4 linked regions of the Arabidopsis thaliana genome follow. The protein of the gene in region 2 interacts with the protein of the main gene of each other region in a pairwise test. Each region holds a gene or a part of one and is shown on either strand. Other genes may lie near its edges.

What was found.
Region 1: the proteins of SOB3 (region 2) and NAR1 interact in a two-hybrid assay, tested with the Arabidopsis thaliana proteins (one large-scale study listed by BioGRID).
Region 3: the proteins of SOB3 (region 2) and AT2G36930 interact in a two-hybrid assay, tested with the Arabidopsis thaliana proteins (one large-scale study listed by BioGRID).
Region 4: the proteins of SOB3 (region 2) and AT5G42110 interact in a two-hybrid assay, tested with the Arabidopsis thaliana proteins (one large-scale study listed by BioGRID).

Annotation. Positions count from the first base shown.
Region 1 is NC_003075.7:9,266,372-9,274,629, forward strand, and holds NAR1 (ferredoxin hydrogenase), read right to left. Parts: upstream 5,299-8,258; 5' UTR 5,140-5,298; coding exon 5,014-5,139; intron 4,855-5,013; coding exon 4,787-4,854; intron 4,711-4,786; coding exon 4,370-4,710; intron 4,292-4,369; coding exon 4,165-4,291; intron 4,091-4,164; coding exon 3,925-4,090; intron 3,824-3,924; coding exon 3,774-3,823; intron 3,688-3,773; coding exon 3,516-3,687; intron 3,424-3,515; coding exon 3,297-3,423; intron 3,213-3,296; coding exon 3,118-3,212; intron 3,045-3,117; coding exon 2,892-3,044; 3' UTR 2,723-2,891; downstream 1-2,722. Other genes in the region: AT4G16430 (basic helix-loop-helix (bHLH) DNA-binding superfamily protein), read left to right, coding at 1,228-2,631; AT4G16442 (Uncharacterized protein family (UPF0497)), read right to left, coding at 5,671-5,922, 6,201-6,333, 6,436-6,599. UniProt on the Arabidopsis thaliana protein: Essential component of the cytosolic iron-sulfur (Fe-S) protein assembly (CIA) machinery. Required for the maturation of extramitochondrial Fe/S proteins.
Region 2 is NC_003070.9:28,701,915-28,709,506, reverse strand, and holds SOB3 (Putative AT-hook DNA-binding family protein), read right to left. Parts: upstream 4,545-7,592; 5' UTR 3,976-4,544; coding exon 3,067-3,975; 3' UTR 2,816-3,066; downstream 1-2,815. Other genes in the region: AT1G76510 (ARID/BRIGHT DNA-binding domain-containing protein), read left to right, coding at 43-93, 309-401, 485-576, 715-826. UniProt on the Arabidopsis thaliana protein: Transcription factor that specifically binds AT-rich DNA sequences related to the nuclear matrix attachment regions (MARs). Acts redundantly with AHL18, AHL22 and AHL27 in the regulation of flowering and regulation of the hypocotyl elongation.
Region 3 is NC_003071.7:15,507,745-15,515,488, reverse strand, and holds AT2G36930 (zinc finger (C2H2 type) family protein), read left to right. Parts: upstream 1-3,881; 5' UTR 3,882-4,044; intron 4,045-4,125; 5' UTR 4,126-4,141; coding exon 4,142-4,332; intron 4,333-4,459; coding exon 4,460-4,522; intron 4,523-4,769; coding exon 4,770-4,946; intron 4,947-5,058; coding exon 5,059-5,121; intron 5,122-5,384; coding exon 5,385-5,487; 3' UTR 5,488-5,591; downstream 5,592-7,744. Other genes in the region: AT2G36950 (Heavy metal transport/detoxification superfamily protein), read right to left, coding at 1-273; AT2G36920 (B3 domain protein), read right to left, coding at 6,001-6,651.
Region 4 is NC_003076.8:16,829,463-16,835,809, forward strand, and holds AT5G42110 (uncharacterized protein), read right to left. Parts: upstream 2,896-6,347; 5' UTR 2,765-2,895; coding exon 2,672-2,764; intron 2,585-2,671; coding exon 2,489-2,584; 3' UTR 2,234-2,488; downstream 1-2,233. Other genes in the region: BG_PPAP (beta-1,3-glucanase), read right to left, coding at 1-66, 498-1,706; AT5G42120 (Concanavalin A-like lectin protein kinase family protein), read right to left, coding at 3,611-5,686; Mfl1 (Mitochondrial substrate carrier family protein), read right to left, coding at 6,110-6,347.

The sequences.
Region 1 (8,258 bases), on a different chromosome or scaffold from region 2:
AAATTATAATAAAATACTAATATTCTTTTTGTTTGAAAAACTGTTTGGGTTTCTTCTTGATGGAGATGTCTTTAATATTTGGTTGGGTTATGGTTATTCGTTTTTAGGTATTTTGTTCATGGACATTTTCAGTAAATGAATTAGCAAGTAAATAAACTTGTATAGGAATAAATGGTTAGTGTTGTCACACACTATCGGAACAACATTATGATGTATTTTAAAATCTTATTGATGCTAATTTGAAAAATTGATTTGGAAGAAGGTTAAGCAAGGAAACAACCATATAAGATAGTTTGATGCTAATTTAAAGTTTCTTATTTTGGTCGAAAATCGAATTATTAGAAATGTTTGAACCTTTTTTATTAGACATCTAGTGATAAATTTTATAAGACTCATGTCAATCGAATAAAAATATCGAATTGTTGTTTTGCTGAACGAATAAGTTTGTCTATATTAGACGCGATTAGTTCTTCTAAACCACATTATCCAAAAAAATCGTGATTGACTACATGGTGTAATGATACCTATCATACCATCTCAAGAATATGGCATGACTCATCCAATTAACAATTGTATTTGCGCATAATTGTAAGATGTGTAAATTCCTTTTCCGCTTATTAACGGTGATTTGCGATAAGTTAATTCAGAAGACGAGTTTCGATTCTCCCATCATAATAGGTTGTACTACGAAATAATTTCCCAACATGTACACATAATCTCGACAAAAATCCAGTGATATGGGTTTACTTGTAGTTGAATAGATATTACACCACAATGACTTGTGGTTTGGTATGTAAGAAAAGGCAAAAGTATAGTTTGCAGTTAAAAAACTGAAGGAAATGATGTCCTTGGTATTAAATTACGATTAAACCCATATTCTCTCTCTCGCATAGTCTCTTCCTCTTTTCTTCTTTCTTCGTCAATTTCAGAACAAGTCACTACAGATCTGAAGTGAACCAAGCTCAGGTTTTGTCTTCTCTTTGATCATTCCTTTCTCAGCAATATAAATTAGAGTTATATCCTTTATAAAGGATTTTGCTTTTTCACCAACAAACCCTAAATTCGGTGTCTCAGCAAGAATCACGTGATTCTCGTTCCTCTTCCTCACGAAACCCATCATCTTCTATCTCATTTGTAAGCAGCGATCTCAATCCAAATACCTTTAATTTTATTTGATTCCATACCCTAATTTTTGTATATTCCATGTCAATGAACGTTTCAGGAGAAATGGGTCAAAAGTTTTGGGAGAATCAAGAAGATCGAGCGATGGTTGAATCCACCATAGGCTCTGAAGCTTGCGACTTTTTCATCTCAACAGCTTCAGCTTCCAACACTGCCTTGTCCAAGCTTGTCTCACCACCAAGTGATTCCAATCTCCAACAAGGGTTACGTCACGTTGTTGAAGGATCTGATTGGGATTATGCTCTTTTCTGGCTAGCGTCCAACGTTAATAGCTCTGATGGTTGTGTCTTGATCTGGGGAGATGGTCATTGCCGTGTCAAAAAGGGTGCTTCAGGTGAGGATTACTCTCAGCAAGATGAGATCAAAAGACGTGTGCTTCGCAAGCTTCACTTGTCGTTCGTTGGTTCAGATGAAGATCATCGTTTGGTGAAATCAGGAGCTCTTACTGATCTCGACATGTTTTATCTGGCTTCTTTGTACTTTTCCTTTAGGTGTGATACCAATAAGTACGGTCCTGCTGGAACCTATGTGTCTGGGAAGCCTCTTTGGGCTGCAGATTTGCCTAGCTGCTTGAGTTATTATAGGGTTAGGTCTTTCTTAGCTAGGTCAGCTGGTTTTCAGACTGTGTTGTCTGTACCAGTGAATTCTGGAGTTGTGGAGCTTGGTTCTTTAAGACATATTCCAGAAGATAAGAGTGTGATTGAGATGGTGAAATCAGTGTTTGGTGGGTCTGACTTTGTTCAGGCTAAAGAAGCTCCTAAAATCTTTGGTCGACAGCTGAGTCTTGGTGGAGCAAAACCTCGGTCTATGAGTATTAATTTCTCCCCGAAGACCGAGGATGACACGGGTTTCTCATTGGAATCGTATGAGGTGCAAGCGATCGGAGGCTCTAATCAAGTGTATGGTTATGAGCAAGGGAAAGATGAGACATTGTATCTAACTGACGAGCAAAAGCCGAGGAAGAGAGGGAGAAAACCAGCAAATGGAAGAGAAGAGGCTCTAAACCATGTGGAAGCGGAACGGCAGAGGAGGGAGAAGCTGAACCAGAGATTCTACGCTTTGAGAGCGGTGGTGCCTAACATCTCCAAGATGGACAAGGCTTCGCTCCTTGCAGACGCAATCACTTACATCACGGATATGCAGAAGAAAATCAGGGTGTATGAAACAGAGAAGCAGATAATGAAGAGGAGGGAGAGTAATCAGATAACTCCAGCAGAGGTTGATTATCAACAGAGGCATGATGATGCAGTTGTAAGGCTAAGCTGTCCGTTGGAAACTCATCCAGTTTCAAAGGTGATACAAACGTTGAGGGAGAATGAAGTTATGCCTCATGATTCCAACGTGGCCATCACAGAGGAGGGTGTGGTTCACACATTCACTCTCCGGCCTCAGGGTGGCTGCACCGCTGAGCAGTTGAAGGACAAGCTCCTTGCCTCTCTATCACAGTAACTATCACAGCAGTAACTGCTATGTAATAAGTGTAACCGTGTTGGAGGTTGTATCAATGTACTATTGCAAGCCAACCAAAAAAAACTCCAGCTTAGTAGGATCGTGTAATTTTCCTTATATGTAATGTTGAGATTTGTCTTTTACATATAAAGATTTGAGCAGAAAGCTTCACACTTATCTCCTATCTAAATACACAATATAGAACCGTTTTTGTTGCCTTGTCAGTCAAAAAATTTGAACACTTCCAGTTTGTCTACGGTCTACCAGTTGTTGAGCTGCGACGTAACACTTTTCACGACCGGATGGTACTGAGTATGCAAGTACTTCTTCGCCTCGTTGGAACCAGGCTCTTTAAGCCACTCCTCGAATAATCTCTTCGCCGTTGGATTCTGGTATGGATCTGTATTCAAAGTCTGGATCCAAAAGGGCAGGTTATTTATTACTAGCTTAGTTAAAAGTGATTTATGAGACTCAAGGATAACTTACAGTATCATTCATATAAGTAGCTTCCAGTGAGTGGATCAGTTCTTTCTGGGACTGTCCTGTCTTTGGCTTGATCTGCCCACCACCATTTAGGCAACCTGTTGAGAGCGAGCATTTTGGGGAACGGTTAATAAGTCAACATATAAGACACGTTTTTCAACTAGGGTTTGCAGAAGATGAACCTGCAGGGCACGCCATAATCTCTACATACTGATAATCGCATTTGCGCGTTTTCACTCTCCGAACAATATTCTGGAGGTTCTGGAAACCGTAACACAGCGCAAATTTTAACACTGTTTTACCTTCCAACTTCAAGAAAAAGATGACGAACATGAGACAAATCCGAGGGGGATTAATGAGAGAAAATTTCAAAACTGTTCATAGTCTGGCTAAGAACTTACTTGAAGAGTCACTTCACGGAAATCAGAATTTCTGAGAGTTTTAAACTCCAGAGGACCTTCAATAGTTTGTCCAAATAGTGCTTTTGCCGCATGTCTGAATATTGTTTCTGCATAACCACCAGAACTCCCAGCTACACCATAAAGATCTCCTTCCTCAGTAACATTCGTCAGCCTGTTTTTTGCATGAAAATGGAAATGTTTACTTCGTATGTATTCATCACCCACTAGCAGAGAAGAGGAAATAATAATGCTTCTTACACTCTGTCAAGTGGAGATTCCTCCAAATCTTTAAAGTCAACTCCTTTCAACTGCACGACACATATAGAAATCCAAAATCAAATTCACATTTTCTGCGGTATGGAAGCAGAATTACAATGAAAATAGGGTTTAATCTCTATCACAGTATCACCTTTATTAAATCCATGATTTCACCCGTTGTTAGCACGGAATCAACTTCTGTCAGCTTAAGGTCTCCATTATCTTGTGTTCCATCATCAAAGACAAAATCATCTCTTGCTGCCTCGAGTTTCTTATCATAACAGGGCATCACAGTCACATGGTACACCTCATGCAGCCTAGTTCCATGAAATGCTCACGTTGAATCCAAAATTTCAGAAAGGTAACCAAAGATTCAAGTGTACCACCGTACCTGAGTCCTAATGCTTGACACAGATGGTGTTTGATCGCAGCTCCAATAGCTTGCTGAGGACTCTTAACAGAAGACACATACGGCAGAACATATGAGCCAAGCTGCTTTTCAGCATAACAAATCCAACCTTGATTCACCAAAATTTCCGCACGTTACTCTCACATAGTGACACATAGCATTACGTCAAACTAGTAAAGTTGCTTACCAGGACAGGCAGAGGAAAGCACAGGGAGAGGGGATTGAGAATTTTCACCATCATCAGAATTAGCTTGCTTATAACGGCTCACAAACTCATTACAAGATTCAATAAGTACCAAATCTCTACTGCAGCTAGTATCAAACACAGCTTTAACTCCCAGAGACTTCAAAAACGTAGTAAGCTTCTTGAAAACCTGAAGAGGAGAGATGTCATAGTGAACCGCAAGGGAAGCTCTCGACTGTGGAGAAACGGACACAACCACGTCCTTGCCTTTGCTAAGAGCAGAGAGAAACTCGTCTAAGCTTTGCTTCTCAAGCATAACTGTCTCAGCTGATGTGATGCATCCACTGTATAATCGTATACATAAACCATTACACTCTAAACTCTAAAACTGACTCAGACAAAGTAAATGAGAGGACAAACCTGCAAGCCAAGCAATCCTTGAGAGAAATTTTAACCGGTTCAAGCTGCTGTTTTGGGGCAATCACAACCTTCAAATTCAAATTAGCACAGAGAAGGACACGTTTAGCTAGTGAAGATATATATAGGATTCATAACAAAAGACTAGGATATGCTATTCCCTAAAACACAAAAAGAGACTAACTTGAAGAAAGAATGAAATTCAATGGCAAAGCATGGAAATTTCGGACCTGGGGTCGATCAGACTTCTTGACGATGGGTTTTGAGTCCTTAAGAGATATGACACAAGCTTGAGACGGAGCAATGAAATCGTTGAGATCTCCGAGCCTCAAAGTCGGTGAAAACTTCTCTGACATATCGCTTTCTATTCAAAACTTAAAAATCTAATCTTTAGAGACGAAGAAACTAGTATAACCAAAACAAAGGAGCAAAGATTAAGGATTGGTGTCGGAGAAGCTGAGGGTATCGGAAAACTAGAACGGCGTCGAAAGGTGCTTTCTTCCTCTATTGGTTCTAAAATTGCAAACTGGGGTCTCAAATTACCTAAAAGGGGTTGAAAAAGTCAAAAATGTAAATTGCATAGCGGGCCTAGTAATAATCTTATTGTGTAAGGGCCTAAATGCAAATAGAGAAGCAATAGAGGTCGGTGACACAATGAGGGTGATGCTTTGCTCAACAATAAGTCAATAACCTTGGTCTCGTTTTTTATCACAGCATATGGCACATTGACACAGAACATCAATAGTCTAGTTTTACATATTGTTTGTCACATATAACATCATCAAGAAGAAGAAGAAGAAGAACCAACAAGAGCCTACACTTTTGTTACTATATGTTTTTTTAACAACAACATTTTCAACACTACTAAAGACAAAGCCGCATTCACTTCACCACGGCGTGGTTCTGCGGTCTTTGGTGGCACCGTACAAGCGGAAGAGACTAAAAGCAGAAATGCAGGAGACGAAAACCATAGCAATGGAGGCTAACAAGGCGCTAGAGACTCCTATAGCCATTTGGTTGCAGAACTTTCCATACATAGTACACACTCTCATCCATTGCAAATCTTCCTCTCCTTCCCTAGCAATCACACCAGACTCTGCTGTTGCTGCAATGGCTGCCACATTCAAGTACGCCATCGCCTGCTCATTCAAAATCACAACTACACTCTTAAATGGCCAACGAAACTTCAATTCCAAATGCAAGCAAACAAGCAACATTCCTACCTAAGTTAATTCAATTCTGATATCCAACCAAACCCATTTAATGCTTAGAGACTTTTCAACATAGTACCCTACTTTTCTCTAATTTGACCTGAGATCTCAAAATAACAAAGCCAAACCCCAAAAATCCCACATCCAATTCACTAATTTTGGCAAACAAAATGTATGTAAAAAGAGAAACACAAACTAAAACTCACCTGATCACCAGAGAAAAAGGCCCAAGCAAGAGGCTTACTAAACAAAACCTTTCCTTTCATCGTACCCACCACGCAACGAACTGATTGCAACAAAGAATAAACCGCAGCTATCCCATTAGCCACCACCAAGAACCTGCATCAATCAATCCCAACAATAACAACAAAAAAGTTACAAACTTTGCAATCTATCTCAAGTCAAAGTACTAAATCCGAAATGGGTTTATGATAAGCTTACACAACCGCCTTCATGTCCGTGTACTTGGCCGTCTTCTTGATAGTGAAGATAAGCTTGACCTCAGTGTCTGTCACAACTAGAATAAGCGCGAGGAGAGCGAAGACACTGATGGAGCACCGTAAGAGCAGCTCCGTTAACCTCATTCTTCGATCTATTAACTTCATCTTGCTTCTGTATCCTCCAGGACAGATTTCGGCCCCCAAAATAAACTCACTTGTACTCTTAAAAATCCGATTTTGGACAAGACAAGAAGACAGGTTCCGTAGAGAGACTAAAGAGAAATAGTGTCCACACTCGGCTTAAGGCTTTAAATAGAGAGTTCCATGCTTTTACTTCACATCGCTTGGGTCCTTAGGCTTTTATTGAAAAATATCACCAAAATTGAAACTGTGTTAACGAATAAGTTTGCTACTAGTTTTGTGTAAATTAAGGCTGGACAAATTAGTTTCTAGATTCAACTAGTTACTAAAAGACCAACATATGAAGTGAAGTGTTATTAGTTATTGTTATCATTTTTACTATTATTACCACCGTCTTCATTTTTCACTTTTTACTATTTGAAGGAAAAAACAATAGATGAATTCACTGAATAGTTCATAATGAAAATACTTTTTTTTTTTCGTTTCTTAAAAACTTATGGTTTTTTTCGTTTTTAGTCTTTTAGAGGAGAAAATTGGATATTTGAAACTTTTCTAGGAATTCAACTTTCTCTTAAGTAAAAGTGTAAAACGGATCACATAATTTAGATATCCTACAAATACGGATACTTATTTCTTACATGAAATTTATAGTAAACCAATTATATCTTCACAATGATCTCATTTTGTCGTGACTTCTTGTTTTAGAGTAAACTTTTAATATGCTATTGAATTAGGGGTGATAGAGAGACACAGAAACATAGTCCCTAAATCTGCCAAGTGGTAGAAAAGTTCTTGTAGACGTTACTACGTATATTATTATGAGATGCATTGAATTGAAATGTGCATGGGTTCTGATCACAAACCCAAAACACAACATTTTTCTAACATCCCCCCTCCCTTAAAGACGAAAGTGAGATATCACAATGACCTTTAGGATTAATTAAATTACAATGCTCCATATTTGTCTTTTAATGTTCTAGGAAAATGGAGAGAAGAAGAAGAAGAAGAAGAGAAGATTGTTATCTATCCCGAGGAGATTATTAAATTATTAAGATGGGACTTTGGATGCCCACATACACAACTATTTAATGAACCTTCTTCTTATTTATTGCACTTCCCATCTCCCAATTAGCCCCTCTAACCAAACCCTTTTCTTTGGTTCTGTCTTATTAACTCTTACTAATAGGCTTAACCAAATCCAATCAAGTTCTTTGATTTAGAAAGACAAGTGTAGATGATGTGACACGTGCACGTTCCTTTCAAACCAAACAAGATACTATGATTTAAATTGTTTTCCTTAATTAAGTAATGTGGTGGTTGGAAGTGGATATTATAATGCCCTCGAATTAATTGCTAAAAAGATTCTCCCATTAAACTTTAGTGCCTTCACCAAGCTACCCACTTTTAATAATAGTAAGTATTTTTATTTCTCTCTTCCATTTTCGGTGATATAATGCTACATCTTAATGAACCACATGCATTGGCATCGTGTTGAATAAGTACACGCGTCTTTAGAATCTGATTTTACAAAGTCGGTGTTACAAGATAAAAATTGACAACACGTAGAGGAATAGAGACAATGTGTTTGTTATGGTGTATATATACACATTGGGTAAATATTGGGGCTGCTTCTACGGTAACAACCTGCTCAACTCTCAAAAACGAACTACTTGTTATTGGTAA
Region 2 (7,592 bases):
CTGAAATCTTACCAAATTTATTTTTGTTGTCTTTATTTACAGAAAGACTGCTTTGAGATATTTGCCCTGGTACCTGGACTTCTTCGCGAAGAGGTGAGCTTTTCTCCTTGGAATTCAATCTCTAAAGCTTCTTTGATCAGTGTTTTGTCACTGGAGTGTTACTGATTCCTACGACATAGATGTGAACATATACTGGATTCGAATCTAAATACACACACTGTTGTCCGTTGTAATGAATTTCATAGTAATTTTTTGTGTGATTGCACACAGAATCTAGTTCCTCAATATAAGTTGATTTCTTCTTTCAGGTCCGTGTTCAGTCAGACCCTGCAGGGCGGCTAGTTATAGCAGGCCAACCTGAGCAACTTGACAATCCTTGGGGAATCACACCCTTCAAAAAGGTTAGATTCTAACACTCCAAACAGAGCCCTAGTTGCTAATTGAAGGATAGTTGTCAATTGTTTTCCGATTTTGGTTATGGTAGGTTGTGAACTTTCCCGCAAGAATCGATCCGCTGCACACGTCAGCGGTTGTGAGCCTGCATGGTCGACTGTTTGTGCGAGTCCCATTTGAGCAGTGACCGGTCTCATCCCAAGTGAGCTAGTTCTTTATTTGTCTCTTTGTTTTCTTTTAGGAATTCGTTTGTATCAGAACTAAAAACAAACGATAGCAAATGTGATAGTTTGACTGTGACTTGAGTTCTGAATATTAAAGTAGAGAAATGAATATTGATGTTCCATATAAAGTTAGTAAGGAAGCTGTTCCTTATACCTTCAAGTATGCAACCAACAATCACAGTGTCTGGTATATATCTTTTAGAAAATGAAGTTTTCATCTGTTTTCTCTGTTTATTTCAGTTTCAGGTTTCACATAAAGAAAACTTACAATTTATAGTTCAATCAAGTTAAATGGCTCCTATTGTAGGAGAGTACTGAAGTTTTATGGGCTGGAAGCTTTTGGGTTGAGTTAAATGGCCTGAAAATTAGGCCTTAGATGTGTCGTGTTGCTTTCGTGATCCACAATTGCATTCATATATATATATATATATATGATGAGGAAAGTCAAGAAAATTTTTTTTGAAGAAAAAAACTAAACATATTATTGCAACTTCCAATTTGCATTAGACCCAATATTATATATTTACATCTAACACGTTTTGTGATTTTTAGATATTCATGCTTATCTATTTTCTGTTGACATCAGACAAAAATTAGCAAAACATTCTATTGTAATAGTTAATAATATGTGACTATACTACTATAGTATACAATTTTTGTTTAAGTTCTCTCTTTTTACAACCGTGAGATTCTTGGTCGAATTCATACCAATCTTCAGAATTTATGAAAAAGTATGATATTATTTTCATGTAAAACAATTACAATAACAAATCATACTTAAAAATGTTGTAGTTCGAACCATGATCCTTTAAGTAACATATGTTCTTCAAGCTCTATGGCCCACACAATAGTGTAGACCTTCTTCTTTTTTGGGTGTAAAATAGTTAGTAGTCTAGATAGTGTAGAACATATGTTACTTAAAGGATCTATATATCTATCCAATCATAATTCGTATATATAGGGAAACCTTCACATTTACGTTTACTTATCAGCCGTTCGTATAAAACACACAATGAACAAGATTTCTTAACCCAATCGTTGCTCAACTGCATGTAAGGCACTTGACATGAGCACATGGATATCTTAAAAAGATAAAGTCACAGTGCATGTATCGAAAAGGTCTCAAAGTACATTACCCTTTATTCTCTTTACATGGTTGAAGCCCTAAAATGTCAAATATATGAAAATTATGAAAATAAGAGGTTTTTAAACCATCTCTCATTCTCATTGTATAACAGTAAACATGATGAGACTCCATTTCTTATATACATAAATGTCACCTGTCTTCTCTTAGAAGCTCATTGAAGATATTTCACCACAAATCTCCTTTGGACATGCATTGGTCATGTACAAGCTTTTCCTTTCACTTGATTTTCTTTTTAAATATACGTTTTCATACGGTCCATACATAGTTTCCCTAGGGACTTGATGCATTCCTCATTTTCACACATCTTTGTACTTAAAGCCCCACTTGGCTGTGTTGTTATAGACTTTCCTAATCCTCTAAAAGGAAACTGATAAATGAAACTCTGGGACAAATTTTTCATATTTTGGTTTTGGCAGGTCATGTAATGTTCTCGTGTTTAAGCCATTAACTTGTAACCGTCGAAAAATCATGTTTATATCGTTGTAACGGGTGGGCGAATCTTTTCTTATAATCGACAAAAATATAGTATGCAATTATCACAGTAACCGCTGTCTTTAAAACAAACTCATAAAATTCTAAATAGTTATTTAGTTTTTCGTAAAATTTCTAAAGCGTTATTTACTTTTTGGTAGATTCTTAACGCGTTATTTTCGTGATTAATTGATAAAAACGAAGAAATATTCATATTGATCTCATCGAAATACAATGTAGAACTCAGTTGGGTGAAACATGTACTAAATCAGAGATTCCATGCGTAAACAAGATATTCAATCTAGAGATTTTCAAATCATAAAATCTCGAAGATTCATGTATGGTATCTAGATGAATTAAAAAGAACAAGATGTTTGATTTGTTGGTTGATTACTTGATAGACATAGTAACATAGATTGAGTGATTACCTTTGATAACTACTCAAAAAGGGGATTACACATACCACATCCATGATATATACAAGTATGAGCCATTTCAATATTTCTATAAAATGTACTCAATAACTTTTTTGTTATCCAATTACAAAGGTAACTAAGTGATATATAAAAATTGGCTTCTAATAGCACTTTTATTGTGAACTCAAGCATATAACAAATAATATATAGGGACAGCACGAAACCCTAGTGATTAAAAAAGAAGAGAAAATGCAGATGGAGAAGTATATCATCTCAAGACGAATTCAAATATTCATATATGATCAACTAAATTAAAAACCAAACGATCCCCAAACAATGAAGATGATTTTTTTTTTCTTTTAATTTTGAGAAATGAAATTTGGTTACAGCTATGTTACGGACATAATTTTCAATTCTAAAAGGCTGGTCTTGGTGGTGCGGCTGCGGCTGCGGCTCCCCAACCAAGCAAATGAGGATCACCGGCAAACTGATCATAACCACTCATGTTACCTCTTAACTGTCCTTGACCGGCTCCAGATGGTGGTGATGATGACGTGGCCGGCGGTGGACCACCTTCTCCTCCTCCTCCCTCTCCAACTTCTCCTCCCTCTCCACCTTCTCCTCCTTCATCTTCAAGGGGAAGCCTTTCGAAAGTTGCATTAGAGAACGATGCAGCCATTAGTATCACTGGACCCGAAGCCACAAGCGGAGCCACCACGTTTCCTCCAATCACCTGACCTTGAACGCCGGAAAGAAAGATAGAAAGACCACCGGATCCTGGCGGCGCAGGGGGCGGCAACACCGTACCTGTGAGGGAAAGTATCTCAAACCTTCCATGTAGAGCCACAACACCTCCGGTTCCACCATTTGCCCCATGAGCCGCTGTCGTTGCCGGCTGCCGGAGACTGACGTTAGCCACCGTGCCGTTACCACTGAGAATGGAGACTCCTCTTCCTCTCCTGCGAGCGTAAGTGGTAACGCTCTCGACTATGTCGGCTCCAGATGAGACTTCAAGAACATGAGATCTAAGCACGTTGGGGCTATCTCTAGTCACTATCACCGGTGGCTTCGGCTTGTTCTTGGATCCCGGAGGACGTCCACGTGGACGTTTCCCGGTTGAACCAGAGGTAACTGGGTCGGAACCCGGATCCTTGTTGGAGTCAGATTCATCATCTGAATTCTGCTGCTGAGGCTGAGGTTGAGGCTGAGGCTGAGGCAAAGGGTGAAGTTGAGGCTGAGGTTGAAGCTGGTGATGAAGCTCAGGCCTGAAGAGGTTGTGAAAGTATCTAGAAGCTCCTCCGGATTGATCGTAACCACCGTCCATGGCAGCCGCATCTACTGACTCTTCTTGTTCTTGTGGCTCATATATATAAAGATATTGTGAGGGTGAAGATAGAATTCATATAAGAGAAACTTTGAGATCCATTGGAGAAGTCAAATTTCAGGAGGTGAGGAGCCAATAGCTTGAGTTGATCGGTTACACAAGCCGACAAAAACAGAGCTAAGAGACACAAATCTAAAGGGTATGCTTTGTGTGTTAAACCCTAACTCGCTTTAGGGCAAGAGAGGAGAGATTCTTCACCCGAGACGGTGTCGTATTAATTGATGTGAAAGAATTCTAGGGAAGCTTCAAATTAATTCATGTGCTGAGACTGAGAGTGAGTGACTCTGCAAGTACTTTTTTTGAACGAGGAAAGGGAAAAAAAAAGCAATAGACACACCGAAAATTTAGCTGAATATCATTCCTTTCGCATTAAAAAATAAAATACGCATAGGGGCATATATTAATATACGAATAATTGCATATTAATAATATACTTGAAATCCATGAAAAGACAAGGGTTTCGAGTTTTTCTTCTCTGGATATATGCGTTTCCCTTTTTGGCATATAGCTTCAAACCAAGAAAATAAAGGAAAACTTTTAAGAGTTAAAATTTAAAGAAAAAGGAAATTAAGAAATTTACAATTTAAAAGCCAAAGGTATATGAATAGGAGATGGAAGAAACATGCTGATATTAAATTGTTGGAATTTTTTTTTATTTTTTTTGATAAAGTTGTTGGAAATTATTATATAGAAAACAAACGAGAAGTCTAAATATAAATTATTGTATAAGTTTTTGAAAGTTACATATCAAATTTGTCCGCATAATAATGCAGTATTCCCTAGAAACAAATGTAATACTCCCACCATTTATCATTATATGCTGTTTAAAGTTAATTAACATATAGTATTAAAATTTAATTAAAGTTTCACTTCTATCTTTCATTAATACACAATTATATTTCTTTCATCAGTTAATACGTTAGAAAAACATAGATTTTTTTTTTGTCAATCTGTTAGAAAAACATAGATAAGACATGAAATTTTAACAAAAAAAAATATTTGCATTGAAAATATAAAATAAAATTTATCCTGAAACAAAATTAAAGTCTTAAAACGACACTTAATTGAAACAGAATAAACAGATGACAAAAAGTAAAATAAAAGTGAATCAAAAATGTTAGCCATGAATCGAATTGCCTTGAAGCGTGTGCATGTAACGCCTTCCATTATGAATTTCATCATTTTCTTTAAAACCGAGATTCTACCTATTCAAAACTAAATTCAGTTTCAAAATGTTTTTGGTCTTGGTCATATATTCTAAAACTAATTAAAAACTATTACCATGAGTGAGTGCACTTCAATTTTTATTAAACTAATTATAAATTATTATTGATAGTAAAAAAAATATAGACCAAACTATTTATTATCAATGTATATTAACTTTCTAAGTTAGAAATTCATGAAATTCGATATAATCTACATAAGGTACCCCAAAAAAGTGTATACAGATTTTAAGTGGGATTTGTTTAAAATAAACATATAAAAAGCATCATCTCTCCAGTGACATGTGTTAAGTTTCTACATTGAAAATTTCATATTTACATCAAAAGTTTGAAAATATCAATATTATATAGGGTAATATTAGAAAGTAACCATGGAATTGAAAAGAATTGAGAGAATAGCCTTGTGTCAGGAAACTTAGGTAAATAACATTTTCTATGGTGGATAAAATACTAAAATATCCTTAGATTTTCTTGTTTTTACAAAAATATCGGTGGTTGTAGTTATAAAGTTTTTATGTATTTGTCTAAAATAATATGATATATTTACAAAAGAGCATGCAATTCTTTAAAATACATACAGAATATATATACACGATATATATGTTTCTCTGAAATAATGTGTTTTTCAGAAATAGCACGAAATATTTATAAAAAGCATGCAATTCTCTTATAGATTGCGAAATTTAAAAAATTACAATATTACATGGGTTTTTATTGGATAACATGACAAATATTTATTTATTTCATGAGTTTTTGTTGGATAGCATGACAAATATTAATATATTAGTGTTAATAACATGTTTTGTTCTTAAAATACATGCATTTTAAAATCAGATATTTGTTTTAAAATCAAATTTAATCTCTTATATCACAACGACATTGACGGAGAATTCAGGTAAAAAGAGAAAATAAAGAATGAGAGATAGAGAGATTTCTATGGAAAAAGAAAGAGAGAACATGTGGGTGAACAAAAATAAAGAGATATGATGATATATTTTATGAGAGGTGGTGAAGATTATTTTAGGAGAGGGAGAGAGAAATAGAAAAAGAAAATGACATGGTGAATCTGAAGAAGATGAATTGTGTTAAAGATGAAAAGAGAAAGAGAACTCTATGGCTAAAGTCTCGTAAAGAACATGAAAAAGAAATAAAAGAAGGAAGAAGAAAGAGAAAGGCTAAAATAGACTAAATATTGCCAAAATTTCTGTAACCGACAAGTACTATTTGGTTCTAAGTTATTTTGTGTATTCTTTTCAACTCAAAGGTTATTTCTTACATATAAATATGAGTCAAACCATTCTTTGCTTTTTTTGCAATTTATGAAACACATTTTTAGTATGTTAATAATTATAATCTAAATGTCTTTTAAATTTTATCAAGTATAGAAAAAATTAAGACGTTTTTTTTTTCTCTTTTTTTCCTGTCAACGATGTTCATTGGACCTCCTCTCTCAGTCTTTTGCTAAGAGGTGGAACTTAACATTTATTACACTATGCGATAATGTATTGCAAATTAAATGTCTTTTCAGTATTCTAACATAGAAGAAAATAATGATCGAGATTCATTAGTTTTGTAATCGAACTCTCGTGTTTAGAACACCACTTATTTTAACAGATTTGAGCTAATATGTTCATTCTTTCAAACGTTGAATATGAACTATATTTAGAAAACTATTGTTATACATAATTGCTTTCAACGTTTAGAATACTTTTAATTATTTAACCATACATTAGTTGGTTAATTAATTAACAGCATTTAATATTAATTCGCACACATATTCCCTCCTCTATGCTACTACTTGATCTTGGTAGTACCAAGCTATATATATTAAAGAAATTGAAATTCTTACCAAAGTTTCCCCACTTGTTTGATAGGTATTAGTATTAATTATCCACTTTTACTGTACCAGCTAGAAGGGGGTCGGACATAAGTAAGAATAATTTAGACGATAAGAACGAATAATCAACGATAACTATTTTCTTAGGATACTAAATGAATATTTTAGTGTATTAATTTTTTATTTTACGATCATCTTATGGTTGTCTAATGTGTATGTAAGGTATAAGTATGTGCATATCTAAATCCATTTGTGTGCACGCATTATTCGATGATCTAAACAGGTTAGTATTTTAATTATTTACAGTTTGCACGAAAGGATTCATGTGAAAGCTTATAAAATATGCAGACGGACAAACAATAAGAATTGAAAATGAGTTTAGCACTTTCGATTGAGATATTTTTATTTTGATCATAGTATATATTACAATGGAATGATATATCATATATTTGTGGACAAATGATGCATTAGAAAAAAACTTTCGATATAAGTTGATC
Region 3 (7,744 bases), on a different chromosome or scaffold from region 2:
CACCAAAAGCTTATTTCCACCAGTATCTGCCGTCACATCTTTCACTCCATCAAAGTGCTTAACCATTCGCTTTATCTTCTTAGCGCAGCCTTCACAGTGCATATCCACTTTGTAAACAAAGGCAGAGACAACCGCGGCGACCGGTGGTGCTGCTGCTGCCGCGGAATCTCCTCCGCCGCTCTTTGGCTTGCCGTCAGTAGTCTCAACTGGGACTACGGTGGCAGCCGGCTTCTTCTCTTGTTCAACTTTGGGACCTTCTTGGACCTCTCCCATTCTTGGTTGAAGATAAGGATATATTTTTAAGGATTTTTATTTTTTGTATTTAATAGGACGAAGAATTGTTTGAACGAGAGTAAGTGGAGGCAAATGTGTGTATTTATAGAAGAAGAAGGAATGCGTGAAGGTTATTATTTTACTATATTATCGATACTGATTTTTTACTGAATATTATATGGTTTGATATTACATGTTCATTTCCGTATGTGTGTATTTGTTGGGGGCTGAGGTCAGCGAGAGTGGGCGTTTGACGCCGGTTTGACACAAGTGATGGTACGAGACACGAAGGCACCAAGTTTCTGAACAACATTACTTTAATCATCCGTGGATAATATTAAAAACAAAAATTGTTTGTGACGCAAATAGTTGATCAAGTTTAATGATTTCTTAAAGGTAACATTGCTTTTGAAAACAAAAAGAGCATCATTTCTCAGCTTTGACTACTTGATGACTTGAGTCTAGATTAGCAGAATCTTATATCAGTTTAAGGTAAAAATACATTCGACCAATTGTCACAATTCAAAGAATATACATCCTATACCTTATCAGAAACAAACTTTAGTTAGAAGATTTCATGGCCTTAAATACGAAATCAAATCATTTTATGAAGTCCGGTAATTCGTTTATTATTACAAGTTCATATAGGAAGAAAAGTGATGTTTTAATCAAATCATTTTTGTATTTTTGAATCACATCATTTTTGAAATTTTATCAATAAAAAAGAATTTGTAAAGAGATTAAAGATAAAGATAGATTCTTTTTCTTCTGATAAATGTGTATTGGTTAAAGTCATGATTGTGCAAATTGCATAGTCTTTTCTCATTGTAAGTGAAGTTGATGGAACCTCCTCTTCTCTTCTCTTTTATGTTTTATATTATTTAAAAAATTCATTTTAAGAAGTGATTTACTACAATTGATTCAAAAAAAAATCTTCTAACAGATTTCCCAAAAAGTTTTAGATATTTTGTTGTATTTTTAGGAAAAGAAACCAAAATTTATGATATTAAAATACCACATGTTATATTATATGATCCAATAAACGCATATTAAGATCAGATCAAAACTTTAAAATACAAGCTATACGAGAAGTCGCACATGGTTTTAATCTGTCAAGTAGTTTGACCGATTAATATATTTGATACTAGTACATAGAAGAATTCGAGACATGTGTGTGTAATGTACATATATTACTAAATTAACATCAACAAAAATGTGTATCATATATCTGAACAATTTTTTAAAAAATTGTATATGTTTTCGAGTATCAAGAATGTAATTTCACGTTTCGTTGTAATACACTATTCGTATCACTATCACCTACTGGCATACACTACTTTACATAATTCGTTCAGCACCAATAGCTTATATAATTATTTTTTAAATTCTTGCATAAATCAAAAGAATTTTGCTCTCCTAAAGAGCACAATTAGTGATTTTAATTAAATGATTACTTTGGTTTTGTTAGTTTCAGCTTCATGGAAACAGCCAAGAACCGCCTATCTACAAAAAACATGGGCTGCGGTATAGAGATAGAGACAAGAGGAATTGCAATATTAACTCACTGAGTTTTTACTTTTCTTTGAATGCTAACATATTGGGTTCGCTGTGTGAAAATTGAATTTTATCTGAAAATCTTTCAACTGCATAAACAGTAAAAGGATAAGAAAAGTTAAAAAAAAAAAATGTCCCAAGGGTTGCGTAATTGCGTTTCGTTCCTCCTTTCACCGGTCCATTTTGTCAACATCATGTTTCATTGTGTTTTGTTGATTTTTTTTGGTCATATGGTCCTATGAGTGACGTAATACATGAGGTGGACACATATTATTATATACACATGAAATATAGAGTTTGATTGAGAACTTTCTTGTCTATTATCTAAAATCTTTCGTAAAGTTAACGATCACAATGACCACAAACTTCAACGTACGTAAGTTTGTGTTTGTATTTTGAAAATCGATGTTTGGATCTTTTGAAACGTTTTGTTCAGTAATTTGGAAGTTTAGGGTAGAAATGGTCACTTATTATATGTAGCTAAATACGATTTCAACACATACAAACTACAAAGATTTGTTTTCGTGTTCCACAGTGTAACACGTCAGGCTGACTTGGATAATTTTAACTAACTTTACCAAGGTTAATATAAAACATAATCACTAATTGCAACATAAATAGACCATTTTAATTTCAGGTTGCAATTAGAGATTATGGTATACACAGCCACACAAAATCAAGAAAAATATGGCAACAGAAAATCGTCTCGTTTCAACCCTTTAAGTAGTTTCATCCATCCATATGGTGCCATTTTAAGTACACATGCAAGTCACCATTTTTCCTCATATTTTTTTGGCAAGTCTCATTGCTCGCCTCTCGTTGTAGCTTACAAAAATGACCATTCAATATGGTTATAAACCATCTTCATGCGACTGGCAAAAAAAAAAAAAAAAAAAAACCATCTTCATGCATGTCAGTTTTTTGTTGCTAGAAAGTTCGCCGTACATATTTGTCTCTCATGTAAAGGTGAAAATGGCTGTAACATGGATTAAACTATTAAAGATTCATTTTATGAAATATAATTTCCATTCATTTTGCTAGGAAATAATGAGGAAAGAACAAATTAAAAGAAATTTGTGTTCATCACAAAACGATAGCAATGTTTACGGAATGGAACCTAAAAGTAAACTACAGTTAGAAAGTGAAAGAAAATAAGATAATCAAAATGATATACAGTAACTTGGTCTTAGGAGTCTAAAGAGTAAAATCTATCTGATAATTAAGACAACATGAAAAAGATGGGCTATAGAAACGTTTTGAAATCAAGTTTAGTGGGGGCAGAGACAAAGTAGAACCAACTCATCAAGAACTCAATTTTAAACATCTAAATGGATCTCCATGCAACATTATTACACTAATAAATAATATGAAAAGTTTGGATTTGGTACCGGTCTGTTTCACTATCATTGTTACAATTATTGTATTCCTCGGCAGGAGCACCTTAGTTTATTAGAACAATTAGACCCCATTGACGAACCAATATGGTGTAGAAGTATCTGGAAAGAAAAAAGGAACGTCCCACATTTCAAACAAATCTTGCTAACCACGTATTATCTAGCTGGAGGAATGAGAATGACACATTGTCCTTGCTCTAGATGTAAATCCACATAACATAAGTAGGATCGGTTCTATTAAAACATTAATTGGAAAGCATTTCAAACTCGGGATAGTAAGTGTGGTGGAGACATGACGTATTGGTGACAAAAAAAATTATAGAGAGAAGAAACAAGCTTCAAACCCTCCCCAAGACAACAAAACCATCATTGTGGGGAGCATTAAGAGTATGCAACGCAAAGAGGCCTTTCATTCCCTTGCTCTCTCCACTTCTAAGAATTTATTGGTTTCTTGTTATACTAATAAATTAATGGAACCCTAAAAACAAGGTTATGAGATTTATCAGTAAACCTACGCTTCTGTCACTAATTCGGTCCAAGTACATTGCTAGAACTCTGTGACTTATCTTACAATGCTATTTCAGAATAATTTCAGACTAGATCTTAATTGGTTCCGTATGTATTACTGATTTCCAAATCATTAATTATTAATGGGCCTATCTAAGCCTGTTTAATAAATGGGCCTTGCGTCAAAGTCTCCATCACTGAAACCGCCCTTTTTAGGTTAATCAATACTTTATAACCGAAACTGATATTTTTTCTAGGGTTTCCTCTTCCGCATTCGTCGTCTTCAGCTCCTCCTACACAGTTTCTTCTCTGAATCGTAAGTTTTGAATTAATCTGCAAATTCGTTTAGATTCTTATCAATTAGTCACTAATTTTTCAATTGATGATTCGATCTCAGTACTTAGGAAGCTAAAATGGGTAGATGTCCGACTAGAAAAGTGAAGAAGAGGAGATTATCTCACAAAACAGCTCGCCGTGACAAATTCGAAGTCAAAGGCGATGACTTGGTTTACACAGAGTTGCGTAAACCGGAGACGGAGATTAAGCCGTTACAGCTTGACGAGGATTTGCCTGGAATGGGTCAATTCTACTGCTTACACTGCGAGTAAGAGAGATTCTATGATTACTCTATTGACGATTCTTTTGGTTTATGAAACTTTTTTTTAGCAAATACATTATCTTTGAATTACTCTATATGACCCATTTGTTTGTTTTACCTTGATATGTTTTAGTCGATACTTCTCCAACGTATCAGTGAGGGATGATCATTTCAAGACTAAGAAACACAAGAAGCGGTATGTGGATTCTTCTCCTTCCTTGGCCTTGGTTTCTATTTTGTTTTGTGTTCTTGGAACTGTGTTTGGTTCTTGTGCTCGTTTACTTTCTTGCTTGCAATGTTAAAGCTATTTCTCTTCACTTCTGTGTACCTAAAGATGTTTTAGCATTTGTAATTTGATTACCTTTGTATGATTATACATGTCTGTTGCAGTGTTGCTCTGTACTCAAGACTTATTATATGTGTTTTGTCCACTTGGATTGCAGTGTGAATATGATGATGGGACAAGCGCCACACTCGCAACTCGATGCAGATTTAGCCGGGGGAATGGGGATGCCGGACAATGGCCCAAAGCTGATGTCTAATTTGGTATTCACAGAGTTGCGTAAACCAGAGACGGAGGATTTACCTGGAATGGGTCAATTCAACTGCTTACTCTGCCAGTAAGATTATATGTGCAAAAAGACAATCTTTGAATTACTCTAGATTTCCATGTTTGTGTGAACATTTGTTTGTATTTGATTGACCTTGTCTCTCTACCTTGATATTTTTCAGTCGGAACTTCTCCAATGCATCAGTGATGGATTATCATTTCAAGACTAAGAAACACAAAAAGCGGTATGTGGATTCTTCTTCCTTGGTCTTGGTTTCTATCTTGTTTTGATCTTGGAACTGTGTTTGGTTCTTGTGCTCGTCTACTTTGAATTCATCTTGCTGGCAATGTTAAAGCTATTTCTCGTCACTGGCGTAGCTAAAAATGTTTTAGCACTTGTAACTTGATTACCTCTGTATGATTATATTATTGATCTATGCATGTCTGTTGCTCTGTACTCAGACTTAATATCTTTCTATTGTCCATTTGGATTTTTGTGTGATTGCAGTGTGAAGAAGATAGAGCGACCAGCGCCACACTCGCAACTCGATGCAGATTTAGCTGGTGGAATGGGAATGCCAGACAATGGTCCAAAGCTGATGTCTGCCTGAGTTTTTACAGTTATTTTCCTTATTTAGTTAATGGAACCCGAAATTTTGTTGTAAAACTATAATCTCCTAAATTAATGATACAGGTTTTTTGTCTGTTGCCAAGTATCTATCATGCAGTTACTGGTTTAGCTTCACTTAGAAGTTTAAATCTGATAAATCATATATTGTTTGTGTTGGTTGCATAAAAAACTTAACCATATAAGCCATACCAATCGTTGTTTTGACAAAATAGAAAGAACAAAACACTAGCTCTCTCAGCTGCTGATATGCGTTTGTAATTGAGATCACATTATGCAGACCTTGTTCTCTTCCGGGGAACTATTGCCTTTCCACGAGCAATCACGCCAAAGTGAAGCCTAGAAGCAGAAGAATCCCATAAGAGTCCTATATCGTCTCTTTCTTTCAAACTTCTCCTTTTGGATAAAATCTTCCAGCCAGTCACCCGTTAGAACATAGGTATATTGTACTGCCAGACGCAGCTCATGCATTGTGCTCGTGTCGTTGTCCTATACCTTAACAATGAGTCCGCTTTTGCAAATCAGCTTCAGGCAGATGTCCTCGAATCTGCTGTTCGAAGAAGCTTCTGGGCAGACGAAGTTGGCCATAAGTAGGGTTAACATTATGCTCGGTCAGTCTCTTCTTGATGGTCCATTGAGGTGCGTTGTTGACAAGTCTAGGGATAGGCATCATCGTAATCTCTATTCCATCTCTTGCTACCTTCAATATGGATTCAATGCTCCCAAAACAACGAAGAGAAATGTTACTTGGGTCTCCCAAAGTGTCAGAATTGTTTGTGCCATGTTCTTCACCTGAAACGGTAAAAGAACATAACATCGACTCTGTTGATAAAAAGGCACAACCACAAGAACCTCCTCCGAAATGGAAAGGATTTAGCAGGTTTTCAGTGTTCATGGTGATGTCATTACTTTCGAAGTAGTTTTGGTTTTTCGAGAATGGACCATGTCGACTGTTAAAGGCTTCTTTGTCTCTGTTCATCGGAGAAACAGAGGAGCAAGACGTTTCAAACGGTTCTTGGCTCATAATTTGCTTCTCTGTTACCTTGGATGACAAGAAAGACAAATCTTGAGGGCGCTCTCGTGGTTCTTGACTCGTACGAGCTCGATTCTTTTCCGATGGAGATGTACAATCGTCTGAGAATGACATTCTCGTTTCGCGATTTCTTCTTCGTCTAAGAGAGTTATCGTTATAACGATTTCACAGAGATACTGTATGAGGGACTAATGAGACCGCAAGTGATGATATATATATATATATATATATATATATATATATATATATATATATATATATATATATTATTCGCAAAGGCTAATCCAAAATGTTGGCAAGGATTCAAATAAAAGAGTGATAACATTTTGAGAAAACCCCGCCGCTAAGGCATCCACCAAGAAATTCTAAATTAAGTGTTACACAGACAAGAGACACTCAAAGTGATCGGGAAAAGTATGCAGGCCCTCTAGTGTTTTGTTTCCAAGCCCATAACGGAGCCTAAATTCATCATCCGCAACACCTTGATAAATGACTCTTCTAACGCTGTTCCTCTTTGGATTAGGAATAGGCGTAATAGACTTGAATATCAAACGGATCGAGGTGCAAATCTCATCTTGATCTATACCATTTCTCTGCTTGCGCATGTTTTATCTTCAGAGCTTTTCTTATGTCCCACTCCCAGTATCCATCTGTTGCATATCTTTTCATTATTTTTAATTTGCATTTTCACGGTGTTCACAAAAATATAATCTAATCTTACAAAAAAAATCTTGCGTTGATTTGTAAAAGTTATAAATGTAGTTCAAGTTCCAGTATCCATGCTACTTTACATAAAAAAAAAATAAGAGTAAAAAAACCTTGGTGACATTGTTAAACTTTTATTAATAGAAAGTGGGGAATTCCAGTACTGTAGCTTAAATTATTGGCCTTCTATGAATTTCTCAATTAGTGAACGACATGTGCCGAGAGGAGCTAGTGCTTCTTCTTCTCCACCACTATAATTTCCAAGTTTGTTCATAATTAAACACAAATTTATTTGCATTCAACAGCTAAAACAAAGTAGTCATCATCATCATGGTGTGTGTCCCATATGCATATATGTGTGTGTGGTCGCACGCGTGTGTTGCACAAAGAAACGAAGTCAAGAATTGTTTTGTTCATAAAAAGTTATATAAACACAAAAGAAATGTTGTCTTTTCTTTCTTTTTTTCATTATTGTTTTAGCTTTGGGTCTCATCATCTCATT
Region 4 (6,347 bases), on a different chromosome or scaffold from region 2:
CAACCGAAGCTTGATGATGCAAAGCAAGAAGAAGAACAACACACACTCAACGAATCTGCCTTTTCCCTGCAAAAACGTCAACAAGCATTGCCTATGTCACACTCCTTTAATTCGTTTATTCAAGAGGTCAACAAGTCAAAAAGTGAGGCACTCTAAATCAATTATATTTTCAGACAAAAGTAACAAAACAAGAGTCATCTCCACGTGATAACCAATCCAAAACACATTGTCACAGTTTTTCGAGTTTATAATAAAGATTCCAACTTTTTAACCAAAAGTCACTAACTTTACCACAATGTTAATCCTTCCTTATTCGAGCTTTGTGATTTTTTTTTCTTTTACCACTAAATTTATTGTTTAAATGAAACAAAACAGATAAATAGAGTGACAAAATATGTCTAAATATGCAACTTAACAGTAACGACCTTCTAGTCCTAAATGTCTACGAAAATTGTCAAAGTAAAACAACAAATGAAGTGTAAAGTCGAAAACGTTACCCCGGCGGAGGAAATGGACATGTAATCCGGTGATGGGTTACCCGTGACTGGCTGATAGATGCCACCACCGCTGGAAGAGCCACCAGTGTTACCGCCACCGCCACTGCTACTACCACCAGTGGAGTTGCTGCTACCACTACCACTACTATGAGTGGAAGAGGTCTTGATCCCAAGTGAGTAAACCGGAGTTCCGTCAGGGTTGAAGAGACCGTAGTTCCTCTCGGAGGTTGGTCCAGGCTTCATGTTCTCGTTAAAGAGAGCAAAGACGAAGATGGTGAGATCGCACTCAGGTCGTATAGGCGTCCTCATCTTCTTGCTCATCATCATCTTGATCAGATTCCCATTGTACTTGCGAGCATTGTCGCAGGTGGCTCCGACTTCTTGCGGGTCACCGTTGGAAGGCCATCCGGTCTCGGAGACGACAATGGGAACTTTCTTGTAGCTGATGCCGACAGCGTCAAGAGCGTGATAGACTGCGTCGACCTGAGCGAAGAGCATGTTGTCGTAGTGGAAATTAGAGCCAGGATCGGTGAAGCCTTGATTTGGTTGGAAGAGTACGAAGTCGAGAGAAACGTGTTTGGGGTTTTCTTCGTAGGCGAAGAAAGGGTAGGCGTTGATGAGGATTGGTGAGCCAGTCTTGACGTGGAAGTCCAAGATGGGAGTGAGGGAGCCGAGGAGGTCGCGGCGGAAGGAAGTGGCCGAGGGAGGGTAGGATACATCCAAGATGGCTAGTGAGTGAGCCGTCGTCACAAAGATCTGCTTGTTTAGGCCACAATCCACCAGAGCACCGTGGATGCTTTGCATAGCCGGGAAGAGGGCTGCCGTGAGGGCTGACTGGTTTGAGGTGAGGACTTCGTTTCCCACTACGATGGCCACGATCTTGGTGTTTGGGAGGTAAGCTTGGACGTTCTCCTTCACCCAGCCTTGGGCTTTAATAGGGTCGCTCATCTGAGCCAGGTACTCGTTACCGAGGGCCACGGTGAGCTCGAAGCCGGAGCCGGCGAAGGCACGTAGGGCTTGTGGATCGGCGTCATAGAGCTTGACTTTTGTAGCTCCCACAGACTTGAGGAGAGGGATGACGTTTTTAGGGGGAGGAAGGTTGTTAGCGACCTGGCCATAGTTGATGCCGATGGAGGAGACGATGAGAGGAAGAGAGAACAGAGCAAGGCAAAACAGAGAGAAGAGAGACTGCAGAGAAGAAGAAGCCATAGATGAAGTGAGAGAGAGAGAGAGAGAGCGTAGTGAGTGGTTGTGAGCAAGATGATAGAGGAGGCAGTGATGGGACCAGAGCGTTAGGATTCACTAAATTTCAAAGTGAAATAGTAATAAAGAAATAATTGAAAAGAAGAAAGAGAAAGAGTAATGTTGGTTTGGATGAGCTGGAAGTCAGTGTCTCTGGAGCAAGCAGTAGAGGAGAGAGCATCTTTCTTGTTTTGCTTCCTCTCGGATTCTCACTTCTCTTATGACAGATCATTCTTGTCCTCTTCTCTCTCGGTGCTCTCATTACAACACTTGCTAGGTATTTGAGACAGCTACATGGAGACAGAACACCAACTAGAACATCTACCACTCATGTCTTTCAACAGCCTGTTTGCTTCAACTAGTCTTTTTTCCAATACACCAGAATTTGACTAAATCCAACTAGGTTGATGACCTTGAACGGCTCTTTAAAGTTTAACCAGATACAACCCAATGATTCAAAACACCAATTAGAGCCATCGCCACACATTGCTTTGTCTCATATAAAGTAAAAGCACACCAACATATGAATAAAGTTTAGCTCACAACAAGAAAGAGTTCAATTTAGCATATCCCTTGAAAGCAAAAGAATGTTAATAAATTCTCATTACAGAGATAATAGAAGACAACAAAAGAGAAGATGAGAATGATAAGATTAAAGACCTAAGTGACGCACTCACGCTTTGAATGGAAAAAACAAAGCTTTTGCATCACCCAAGAGAAGAAGAAGAAGAATGGTATTTGTAATCTTATCATCTGTGTGCTGTGACCAGCGTCTCTATGAACCTTAACCCATCAAACCTCGGCTCGAAATTGTCCGACCCATTCGTTTTCCTCGATTCCCAAACCTGATCAATTCATATCCACATCTCAGTTTCAAACCACAGAACAATTGAAATCGTCGAAATCGCAGATCTTAAAAAAGAAAGAAAAACCTTTGGGGAGACTGGAGGAAGAATGGAGGAAGAAGAGAGAGCAGCGGTGGAGACGGCAATGACAGAAGCGACCACACCGCTTGAAACCTTCATCTTCTTCTTCGGATCCGACGACGCCGGATCTCTCCACCACCACCGACTCTCTGGAGCTGCGTGTTGCGCCTTGTTTCAGGCTTTTCTTAATATCAAATTTTCAGTTAAACCCAATATTGCCCTTCCTTTTTATTTTCTCCACCATTACAAAAATAATTAAAAAAGAGAAGTACTTATTAATAAAAAAAACAAATTGGCGTTGGAATGTGGTATTATCGTAACGGTGCATTTGATTCGAGTTGTTCGATAATCTATTTTCAATGGTTGAATTATTTTATTGACTCATCTAGTGGGTCAATTTGTGGAACTATCAAATTATCTCAAATATAATGGAAAAATATTTCAAACCATACAAATTTAGTTATTTATCTCTTTTTTTTTGTCCAATAACTCAGTATATTATAATCAAGACTTTCTTGGTCCAATAACGGGCTTATCACTAGTATAGTATTAAACCATGCAACCAAAAGGCCATTTTTGTGTGTTATTGAACTAGTAAATTAGAATAGTATTTTAAAATCCATTGCTATTACTTATTACCATTTACCACCATTGCATGCACGTTGTTTCACCCGTGTATGTATGTCAATAGAATTTAACAGTTTTTTGCAACCGTGTAATGCTGTACAAATCATGAGTCTGTTTGGGTAATAAATATGAATTAATGTTTTGTTAGACTATAACAAAATGTACTTGATGTATCTATTTATTTGAGTTATGAAATACTGATTACTCCGGGAGGTTTATAATCTTTAGTTTCCAAAACTAGACAAATAAAAAAGATTACAAATTTTCCAAATCTCAAACTAAAATGTAACCAATTACAGAAAGCCCCAAAAAAAGGAATCAGCTAAAGTGCGATTTAGGAGTCATCCAAGGAAGATCCTCCCCAACCAAACCATCGACAATCATCTCTTCCGCTTCGTTAGCCGGTCGGATTCTCAACAAAGGCCTCCTCGCCGGAAGAACTGGCAACGGCGCCTCCCCGCGTATAATCCTCACAGCATCCTTCACCCTTGGCCGCTTCTCACTGTCAGGATGCGCACAAACCATCCCAACCATCAACACCCTTTCCATTTCCTCTGCATCGAACTCTTCCCTCAGCATGATGTCAGCCCCATCCAGCACCTTCCCTGTCTCCCAGTGGCTCCACATCAGGTCTACAAGCACCGCCCCGTCATCCCCCACCGGCCTACGCCCCGTACACACTTCCAGAACCACCACTCCAAAGCTGTACACGTCTGTTTTTTCAGAGGGCACACCTGTGTACACGTATTCTGGTGCCAAGTAACCCATAGTACCTGCTGGGAGTGTAGCAGCTCGTCCAGCTAGCAACGCACTGTGCTCATATATCTCAGCTAACCCGAAATCACCAAGCTTGGCGTTAAACTCGGCATCAAGCATTATGTTACAGGTCTTGACGTCACGGTGGATGATCTGTCTCTCACATTCTTCGTGTAGATATGTAAGTGCGGAAGCCACACCGAGAATGATGTTTACCCTCTGCTTCCAAGAGAGTACTATGATCTCTTCTGATGGATCAGATGAGGGTTTCTTGTGTAGGAATTCACTTAAACTTCCGTTAGGTAAGTACTCAAACACTAAGGCCGTCTCTGTTCCTTCGCTGCACCACCCCTGGAACTGAACCAGATTCTTGTGCCGCAAGTAACCAGTCATTGTGGTGAACTCTGTGGTGAAAGGGTTACGGTTGCATTGTGGCCAGTGTTCTCGATCAAACCGCTTCACGGCCACGGATCCAATGGAAGGAATAGAGCCTCTATAGACAGTAGCAGAAGCTCCTTGACCAACGATTGCGTTCTCATTGAAACCCGACGTCGCGGATTTGATCTCAGCCAAGGATAACCTTCCAGGCATCCGAACAAGCCCCGAATTCGAATCAGCTTCCTCACTAATCCTTTTCTTGCCACAAATCAATGAGAAAACAATAAACGCCACGAGGATAACAATTGCAGCCAAACCAGGTAAAAGACTCCAAACTGGTATCTTTAATCCAACAACTGTAACCCTAAAGTTGAAACCTTTACGATGAATTTCCTTCGGATTTTCGGAAACTTCCCCTGAGCAAACCAAACACTCTTCATCTTTCTCCTCCTCCTCTTCTTGAATCGCATCAGAATGAGACCCAAAGGTCCTAAATTTCCACCGCTCAACGATATGCAAAGCTGACCCAATACCAGCATTCGAAGCAGAGAAACCAACATGCATATACTCTTTAACTTTACCAGAGAGATCAATCTGTGTTGATAAAACAGGACTAGTAGGCTTAACACGAGAATACCCAACCCAAACCCTAATCAGTTTAAGAACATCACTATACTCAATCCAAGCCATCATCTTTTTCCCACTTTTAAGATCAAACCCTTTCGAAATCGCATCAACGGAAGAAACAGAGAAGATTGAACTAACATCGATTCCAACATGGTTATCGTTGATGTCACCGTGAACCGGGTCAAATCTAGTATCAAACTCAACGGCGATGAAAGAATCATCAGGATTTGGTAGACCCAAGAAGCCATTAGAGAAGACGAATGAGTCAGCATTAGACGTGATCAAGAAAGCGAAGCCGTCACCAAAAGGGCAAGAAGGAGAAGCGATGATGGAGAAGGAGAAGCGGCAAGAGAAAGAAGCGGTTGTGTTAGTGGAAGGTTCGAGAAACTTTATTGGGTACACGTAGAGAGCTCGTCCAATGCCGGAGGAAGATGGTTTTGACGGTGGTGTTGTGACGGAGGGAAAGCAAGGTTGTTGTTGGGTTAGTGAGATTGTACGGTCGCGGAAGAAGGCGTCGCCGTAGAGAGTTAAGTTTTGTAGCGGCGGCGAGAAACGGTGAGAAAGTGTGGGAAAATCTAGGGAAAGGAAGAGAATTAGGTGGAAGATGACGAGAGAGTAATGATGATGATTCATCTTGGTTCCCGTTGTGTCATGTGGTTTGTGTTATTTTCTTGAACTCTGATCTTTGGTTAAGAGAGGCAGAGAAAATTATAAATCGATTATTATTAACTCCAAGATGGTTTTGTAATGAAATGTAAAGGATGATAATTTTATAAGCGCTTGGTTATAGAGACAAAAATGAGAATGAATAAATCTAGAATGAGAGTGAAGCAAATGATTAAAGATCGTCTTACACAAATGGAGCAATGTAATTGTGACAAAATCAAAACTATGGAGACACTAAACCCAACAGAAAAGAAGCAAATCTACCTCTCAGAATCTGGCTAGTAACAACCTCTTAGAATCCAAGCTTGGTTCTGGATAAAACTTGATGCTTCTTTTGAGAAACAAGCAAAAACTCTCCCTCTGTTCATCTGACTATACCAAAAACCGAACTCAAGAATCAGCAGCAACGTTAGCTTCAGACTCTTCTTTCCTTTTCAAATATTCATTCAAGATTGTAAGCCTAGCAGTCTCAAAGGCAAAATAACCGATCGCAGAGAAACAAGCGCTGTGAACAACTCGAGGTCCCATGCCGCGGGTAAAACCAACCCAACCTTCCTCTGTCAATATCTGCTTCACTGTCCCAGCAACACCAGTATACATAGCACCACCGAGTTTATCCACAGCCTCC